3 linked regions of the Tribolium castaneum genome follow. The protein of the gene in region 3 purifies or fractionates together with the protein of the main gene of each other region. This does not show direct contact. Links are inferred from orthologs where the notes say so. Each region holds a gene or a part of one and is shown on either strand. Other genes may lie near its edges.

What was found.
Region 1: the proteins of protein NDUFAF4 homolog (region 3) and ND-13B purify together in Homo sapiens (co-immunoprecipitation; 3 studies listed by BioGRID and IntAct, with this or other methods). This does not show direct contact. The link is inferred for Tribolium castaneum from reciprocal best matches to the Homo sapiens genes NDUFAF4 and NDUFA5.
Region 2: the proteins of protein NDUFAF4 homolog (region 3) and 140up purify together in Homo sapiens (affinity purification with mass spectrometry; 3 studies listed by BioGRID and IntAct, with this or other methods). This does not show direct contact. The link is inferred for Tribolium castaneum from reciprocal best matches to the Homo sapiens genes NDUFAF4 and TIMMDC1.

The regions. Positions count from the first base shown.
Region 1 is NC_087395.1:17,351,249-17,353,591, reverse strand, and holds ND-13B (NADH dehydrogenase [ubiquinone] 1 alpha subcomplex subunit 5), read left to right. Parts: upstream 1-1,282; 5' UTR 1,283-1,352; coding exon 1,353-1,724; 3' UTR 1,725-1,772; downstream 1,773-2,343. Other genes in the region: GATOR complex protein Iml1, read left to right, coding at 27-230, 281-441, 488-985, 1,031-1,243. UniProt on the Homo sapiens protein: Accessory subunit of the mitochondrial membrane respiratory chain NADH dehydrogenase (Complex I), that is believed not to be involved in catalysis. Complex I functions in the transfer of electrons from NADH to the respiratory chain.
Region 2 is NC_087395.1:15,888,396-15,891,590, reverse strand, and holds 140up (RPII140-upstream gene protein), read right to left. Parts: upstream 1,769-3,195; 5' UTR 1,704-1,768; coding exon 1,534-1,703; intron 1,486-1,533; coding exon 1,320-1,485; intron 1,271-1,319; coding exon 1,182-1,270; intron 1,134-1,181; coding exon 1,000-1,133; intron 953-999; coding exon 723-952; 3' UTR 572-722; downstream 1-571. Other genes in the region: twf (twinfilin), read left to right, coding at 408-563; glucoside xylosyltransferase 2, read right to left, coding at 2,244-2,390, 2,439-2,611, 2,661-2,810, 2,856-3,048, 3,097-3,195.
Region 3 is NC_087397.1:10,570,128-10,573,218, reverse strand, and holds protein NDUFAF4 homolog, read right to left. Parts: upstream 1,582-3,091; 5' UTR 1,348-1,581; coding exon 1,203-1,347; intron 1,155-1,202; coding exon 1,066-1,154; intron 1,018-1,065; coding exon 795-1,017; intron 748-794; coding exon 590-747; 3' UTR 519-589; downstream 1-518. UniProt on the Homo sapiens protein: Involved in the assembly of mitochondrial NADH:ubiquinone oxidoreductase complex (complex I). May be involved in cell proliferation and survival of hormone-dependent tumor cells. May be a regulator of breast tumor cell invasion.

The sequences.
Region 1 (2,343 bases), on a different chromosome or scaffold from region 3:
ACAAATTGTTCATTTGCAATTCATAGATGATAAAGATGCGTTTCAACCGAGCGGCGATTTGCAAAACTTCGAAAACGAGTGGCTGGAAGTCGAGGTCAAGTCAGCCCTAAACTGGGGGCTGTCGGACGTAACCAACGGGGTGGAAGTACCCAACATGTACTGCGACCGGAAATACGGTGTCCCCCACTTCCTGTGCGAGGACATCAACGTTGAATACGCCGAGAACGAGAGTATTATCCCACCAATCAATATTTAAACAATTTTCCAATAAATTTTTCAGGCACCATTTACAAAAGAATGCGTTTGGAGACTGACGTCGCTGGTAAAAGCGACCGCGTGGAGTGGGGCCACGTCCGCTACCAAACGACTTTCATGCCGGACCAAGCCTACGAATTAATTGTCGAATGGCTGACATCATCGGGTTCTATTGTTGCCGAACTGGTAATCAATTTAAAATTAAAATGAACCGACTAATTTCGCTCCGCAGCTGTCCAGTTGGCACCGGAAAGCCCAAACTTGCGGCCTGCAAATGATCCCGATCCCGCACGACCCCCTCGCCTTACCCTATTCTAACAAAAGCGACCCCTTAAGAGGCCCTATTTTTGTACCCCTTAACATAAAATGCCTCGAGGAACGGGACACAATTTTCAAAGAATTCAAAGACGGGTCGTCGCTCGAACGCCTATTTTTGCTGCAAGAGACGATCATACAAAGATTCGGGTTTATTAACTGCATGCTGGAGCCGCCTATTAACCCTGAGGCCACTTCGCGTGAACACCAATACGTTCATTGCACCGGAACTGTTTTTATTCTGATTTCGCGGCCTGCCTTAAAGCCCAGGAGCAGGGTCCCCTCAGTTGGGAGCAAACCTAGGTCCACTGGGCGGTTCTCGGTGCACGCGGACGTTGTGCCCAGCCCCCATGAAGCCTACATCACGCGGCACGTCAGTGGGAAAAATAAGGACGATTATGATAATTCCAGAAAGGTAATTAGCGCCGATTCGTTTCCTTTTACCAATAATTTGATTTAGATGGGTTTTTTATGGTCTTGGAACCACATGGTCAGTCGCAGGTGGCGCACAAACCAAGGTGTTGATAACAACTTCCAGACCAAACTTCTGAAGGACTTTAGAGAGTTTTGCGCGAATGTTGACGACAGATTGAGGAACTTCTGGGAGGAGAGTTGGGTTACCAAAGAAAATGCTTCTACAAATTTTAGTTTAGACAATTATATGCGGAAATAATTTTATCGTGTAAAATAAATTTAAACTTCGTAGCAGTTAATTGTGTTGGCGACACTGTCGTGTCCATAACCTCACAAAAACATTACGTAAAGAAAAACAAGTCAAAACTATGTCGGGGGTTTTGAAGCAGACGACGGGGCTCACGGGGCTGGCCGTTTCGAAGAACCCTCACCACACTTTGGGTGTGTTGTACGGCAAAATCCTGCGAACCTTGCAGAAGATGCCCCAGGAGGCAGCATACAGGAAATACACCGAGGAGATAGTCAACGAGAGGGCGCAGGCCCTGAAGCAGAATACGACAGTCGAGGGGATTGAGAGACAAGTGGGTTGTGGGCAAGTCGAGGAACTTATAGTCCAAGCTGAGAATGAACTGATCCTGGCTCGCAAAATGTTGACCTGGAAGCCTTGGGAGCCCCTTCTGAAGGAGGCCCCCGCGAACCAGTGGGCCTGGCCACCGGCGAAGCCGCCAAAAACGTGTTAGAAAATTGTTGTACAGCTTAGAAAATTAGAAATAAATAAATAAACCCTAGTGTCTTTTTCCTTTGTTAGGGACTTTCGCGAAAAATTACCATAAAGCGCCATCTGTCGGCGAGCCGTGCGCCGGAAAGCGGATGTGGGTCCGAGATTATCAAGTAGGTTTCGTAGCTACATTTCCTTTGTTTTGCATTGAATATGGCTGCCATATTTAGTTTAGATGTCTGTTTTCAAAAGCGTATCAGAATTTGTGATAAATTCTACATAAAATTATAGCGAATTAACGTTGTGTTTGTCGAATAAGACGGTGGGATGTGTTAGAAGTTCAATGGACGTTTAAAAAATTGCTGCCGTGTTGTTTTTAAGTTAAAATGCTTGTGTTTACATCGACTGTCCTGGACTTGTGTACGATTTATGGCAATTTAAGGTAATTTTACGCCGTTTTAACCCTTGCTTCGTACTCACCACCGCACAGGGGGGCCTCCAGTTCCGTCCTGTGCCCAAATGGGGCGAGTTTTCGCCGGTTTCGATTCATTATGTCGCCGAAAACGATGTGATACGTTTTGGGCATCTTTCGGGGTTGTTCGAAATTGCGGGTTCCAGGCGCGGGGCCTTTTCAAGATCCG
Region 2 (3,195 bases), on a different chromosome or scaffold from region 3:
TTTTCTTTTATTTTTACTGACAATTTTATTATGCCTTCTTTGTTATGTTTTTGACAACACAGAGTTGTATTGCAGAAAAATTGTTATTTTTCGAACAAAAAACTTAAAGCAAATAAAATAAAAAACACGATAACCATTACTAGATGTTATTTCTTCATCCGGTTTATACTCGAAGTGCTTTTAGTTTTCTTCATGATCTGTGACAAAGTCCCTAGTTTTAAAAATTTCCATTGTTTTCTTGATCTATTATGAGAAGAGAAAAATCTTTTGAATAAACAATTATTTTAGCAGTATTAATAAAAATTTGATGTTGATAAGTAATTAACGAAGTAGAAACAGAATAGAAAATGTTCAATTTGTTGTTCCGCTCGTAGTATTTTACTCATCTGATAACGGAAAAATTTCAGTTGGAAATTGATTCAGGGTCTGAGTTGACCGAAGAGTTCCTGTACGAGGAGATACACCCAACAAAAAATTTGCACCGTCCGAAATTTGCCAAACCGAAAGGGCCACCAAACCGAGGACCAAAACGAATGACAAAGTCTCAAAACGTGGACAATTGAAACGGCGGTTGTATGCTTTATATAAATTATTTATTCGGTTAACATGCGCTCAACTAGCTTTTTCAAACAAATATTTTTGTATTTGAAGCTCATTGTATAAATCATTAAGTAGTATTAACTATCAGTCGCTTTCGTGTTACATGAATACAGTTATCACAATTACTCGGCCACATTTTCTAATGTTTTTCCCGAATTTCCGACTCTCTTATTGTGGTGCTGGACAACTTCATCTTCTTCCTTGGCAAGGTACTCAGCTATACCCTTATTTGTGTAGTTTTGCCGCTCTCGTTGCCAGTGGTACTGCCAGTACCTGACCTCATCCATCGACATCCCTGTCAAACTTAACAAACCTAAAGTGGCACCGCCTGCTATTAAACCCAACACTGCCCCTGGATCAAAAATAAATTAACCAAGGCTTGGCTAGTTGAGAAAATACCTAATCCGCCCCCGACTACCCAGCCCCTCGGACCCATATTCCACTTATACAAGGTACCACTAAATAACCCCGCAACAACGTATTCCAGAATTCCCGATTTCCCCCGGTATACAGAAATTCCAGTTGAAATTGCCCTAATAAATAACAAGGAAAAATACCAACAACAATCCAATCTTCCTTACGTAAAAGACATCGTGAACGAGGCAAGCCTCCACGACCACATCCAGGCCCCCTTCCCGAAACTTTTCGTAACCGCATCTTGCAATTTTTTCTGCACTGGACAAAATTAATTCGCTTAAAAACAGCCAGAGCCGCCATACCTTGGCCTCGAGATGATCAGTAAAAGCCGTGGCTTGGTTGTTCTTCATAAAATTCACATAGGCCACCCTACTGTGCACAACGCCCCCGTAAATGCCCCCCACGAACAAACTCATGCCCCCGACGTGTAAAACAGTGAGTAATTCCTTGCTGACCTCACCAAAGTCACTACAATTGAACAATTAACTACATGGAGCCCAATGGTTTCGTACCGACTCGGCCTCAAAAACCCGCTTCAGACGGTCCCAACCTGTCTCTTCCGGCAAAGTTGATAAATCAACTTTTTGCTCGGTGGGAGTGTCTTGCCTCAACTTATCATTGTCATTGAGAAAATCAAGCGGCCAAAGAGCACACAACGTTGTGGGCTTTAACACTTTTCGCAACATTTTTCAAAAAAAAATAGGTTAGGTTACATAACCTTCAAATTCCCTACATAAAAAAGGCGTAAACAGGTGCACCAACCTAAAAAAATCGCCATCCCAATCTTGGTTTAAACAAAATTTAAAAATGGTCCAACTTATTTTTGGTTTTGTGCTAAAGATTTAGGATTAACGACGTTTATAGTGTTAATAACCGTTTTTACTTTGTGTTCTACGGATATTATTTATTGTTGATCAATTCAGGAGACGAAGATTTTAAAGAATTTTTAGTTTTTCTCAGGTAAATGCAAATATTTCTATTAGCTGTTTCAGAACTAGGAAAACGATAACGTTTCATTTTCTTTCAAAATTATGTTATAAATTATTCACGCACTTCAAAAAAATAGCTAATGTAATTTATACTTTCAGTGAGAGATCTAATCACCAGAAAATTCAAGTGGAGGGCTCAATAATTATTTATTCAGCTTATAAAAGTATAAACTCCACTTGTAAATAAAATATCCTGCATTGATGGACAGCTTCGTTGCATTAACAAACTCTGGCTTACTAACTGGTGTCTTCCATGTTAATGTAAAGTCGCACGTTTTTGAGAAAAATGTCTTTAATATGGCCACAGTTCGTGTTCTGAACTTGTTCCAAAAAGGCTTCAAGCGGTTGGTAAAAATCCTTGAATACATCACCCCCTAGACGGAACTAAAACTGCGTTTTCAATTACAGATTCCTGTAATCGGTAGTAACAACCTCTTCAAAAGCTCTATAAATTGCTTGAAAAACCGGCTGTTTCTCTGAGTGGAAAAACCCGCGAGAACCATGGACCACAGCCACTCCGAACTTTTCCGCCGGCTTACAAACACTCATGTACATGCAGTGGTCAGGTCGGAAATTAAACCTACACGAATATAAATACAATTTCCCTAAAACGAATCACAATTTTATAAAATCGCACCAAAAATGGTCATATACCAGGGTGGTAGTGGAAAATTATATTGATTATGTCCTGGTCGCCCCACGTTATCTTCAATTTGTATTTTCTATAAATGGGGACTACGTACTCACTCCACTGGAACGCCCTCATTCTGGTCAAATTCATTAACATCACGCCGGAATTTACGCCTGAAATTGGGGATTACAAAGTGCAAAAAAGTCACACAATTGTACCCAATTTTCCGTAAAATGGGTGTTTGGCAAAACGGTTGTACCACCCAACGTTTGGGTCCTCATGTTCTGGGGCCAACGCAGCCATCTGACTAGAATTCATCTTGTGGAAATAGCTCCAAATGTTCTCGACTGGCGTCAAAAACAACGTATCTGTATCCATGTACAATAAGGAATCTACGTCTTTTAAAATATTCTAAAAAATAATTTCATAAAATGTGGAAAATATTGAGTAGAGGACAACAGGTAGAAATAATCTCTGGGCTGCACAAGGCTTAAAAAGCCTCTTCCACTCCTCTGCGTCCTTCACAGGAAACGTCAAAGCCATAACTTTGTACGTAAA
Region 3 (3,091 bases):
AGAAATTTTCGGTGTGTCTGTAAGATTTGCTACAAATTTTTGGCAAATAGTATTCCCTTTCTTTGTTTTTAAATCTGTTATGGGTAAAATCACTACGGTTTGCATGTGGAGATGTGCTTCTTCCCTTTGTTATTCATGCCATTAGTTATTAACTACATTACATTTATAATAGCTTTACAAAAATTGTTTTAAACAGCGAGCTATACGCAAAACCTTGTGAATTTACACATATTAGCGCTTGTTTTACAAATTTTGGTTAAATGACTGTATTTTTAGACTTTCTCCCTTAAAGCTCGAGTAGAAGGATATATCCTATAAATATGTTTCAAAAAATATTACTTAAAACGGCTGTAAAACACTGAAAAAATGACTAAAATCCGACACTTTTTAATCCCCTTAATCATAATCTTCGCGATATATTCCTTTGCGGATTTGATAAAAAATGTTTCATCCCCAATTCCGATGGGTGAAGGAGGACCCTATACGGAACAATTTGGAGATGGATAAAGTAGCGTAACTACTTTTAAGTTTTTTATTTTTTTTTGCTATAAATAAACTATTTAAATTGAACTAAATTTCAGTTACATTGTCAGGTATCCCCCTTGTCTTCTTTCCCAGGTAACAGTTGTTTTCTAAGTTTTGGCATGACTCTAATTCTGGGTACACTAGGCCCAGCAAACTTGGCTTTAACTCTTCTTTGTTCAGGAATATAGACTTCAAAAACTTTATAATATTTTAAAACATTTTCTGCAACAGATCATTGGCTATATTGGCTTAAAACAATGGAAAATTACTTGTTATTTCTTCGGGTAATTTATACTCCTTAGAAATAGCTTCAACACTATGTAGTCTACGATCGTGTTGGTGGTCTGTCACAAACTTAAGGACTTGTTTTAGTGAGGCCCTCCCTTCTGGAATTTTTTCAGGTTCTTTAACCCCATATTCAAAATCCTCAACTTGTTGCCTGTTAAGAGGAAGAGGTCTGTTGGGGTTTATTTTCTGTTCTTGCACCGGATTCTAAAAAAATATTTGCAAATTTGACGTTTTTTTTTTTAATTTACTTACAGGGTCATGTGAGGTCACATAAACATCTTTTAAGTAGTTATCCAACTGTTGGTGTTTTTTCTGGCCTTCCCTAAATTCTTCAGGATACTCTTCAAGAATATTACATTACTCAAGCCCTTTCGAATAAACAAACTCACCTCTCATTAATCTTTCATAATCTAGTTGATCACTTTTGTGTTTGGGAGCTGGAGTTGGCTTATCTTTGGATATAATTTTGTGTGCTCTACTCTCGATGTTAAAAGTCCGAAAAGGACGACCCATTAAAGACATGACTTTTCCCATTTTCGGCTTAAAAATTGAGTTGAGGTTAGGTGTAACCTCAATTCTAAAACTTCTTGATGTGACAGTTGACGAAAATTGAAGAAGGACCTCACGTATCCAGTTTTAATTATTTAAGGATACTTGTTTATTTCATAAAAATTGTGTTATATCATAATTTTTATTTTTCTATTCCACACATACTCGGTCACATTGCTGAAACAAAGACAGATTGACGGAGAAAGACAAAGATAAAACGCCTATTATGACCTTTTTTTTGATTTTTAAATCTGTAAATATTTTAAATCAGGGGCGTAGAGACTGAAACTATCAAATACCATGCATGTTTATTTTGCATCTGGGCAGATGTTTAAATTATGTAACTTTAGCACAATTTAAGTTAGCATTTTACTTTTCAAATCATTTATATTAGATCTAAAAAAAAGCTCACAAAAGAAATAATAATTTCTAATTTGAACACCTTTGATACGCTTATGGAACAAACGCTATCTCCATTGTCGCAAGCAGCGCGCATAGCTGCCAAATTGAGAAAACGGAGGGAACTAGGCGTCACATTATTTTCAACTAAAAATGGACGAAACAAGGCATTAATAAATACTCAGCTGGAAAAAATGGGATGTTTTATAATTTCCAAGTAATTGTCTGGGTGCAGACACGATTCGTGAGCTAAAGCAATGGCATTTAGTTCTAAATAAATAGTTTTCTAAGGTTGGCAGATTCTGGAATTTGACACTGTGTAAGATGGCTGGTATCTGAATCTTGGTAAATTGTCTTTGTTTTCATTACAGATTTAAGTGCCTTAAAAAGTGATTTAGCTTTAAATAACCGTACAGTTGAATGTAATTAAAAGTTTATTGTGTGGTGCGTGCGACGTAGCGTAGTGTAGAAGCCCTATGATGGAAATAATGTGTTAAGTGTTCATAAATTCCTCCACATAGAATGAGATAGATTGACAATTGACACTTCAAAATCTGTCAGTTCTTGCAGCAGATTCCATTTGTTTTAGAAGAATAAAAGGTAATTGTTGGCTAGGTTGTTTAAATAAATTTATCCTTGATGAGATGAATTGGTGTTAGACAGTAACAGATTAGATGTCACGCACAATGCCAAAGAATGTATGACTGGAATGCCGTGCGAGTGAGACATTTGATTGTAATTTGGCACATAGCTCTACTAGCGCCTGAAGCACTGTATCCCATACACTATGACAGATGCTATGCCTAATCTTTACACCGATTTATTCCCATTTTAGCCTACGCTTTAATCCACACCAAACGCCCCCTGATTTGTCTCAACTAACGCACAAAATTCGCTTCTCTTCCTAATCTCCGCAGCTAATTGTCATAGTTGCAGCTTTTTATGAAAGCAAATCACCAAACTGGACCATAAGAATGTAAATTAATCAATTAAAACATGCCATACAAAGACACAACCACTCCAATTATTCCTCGGAGACTTCTTCATTTAGCAACTAGGAGCGATTTTGGTGTTTATTAAAATAAAAACAATCCAAATGCAAATGTAATTGAGGTCACATTTAGAACATTTTTTCAGTAATAATTATTTGAAAGTGATTTTCACGGGTGCATAAAAAATTGCAATTGTGCACGCTTATTGGTAAGCGACCTTTTTTACCGCTCGTTATTGGTGCTCATTACGTAATGAATTAACAAGAAATTGACATCAATGGTTAAAATCTAGCAGAGTGTAAAATCACGATTTGTGAGAGCTGAATGAATTCATTATT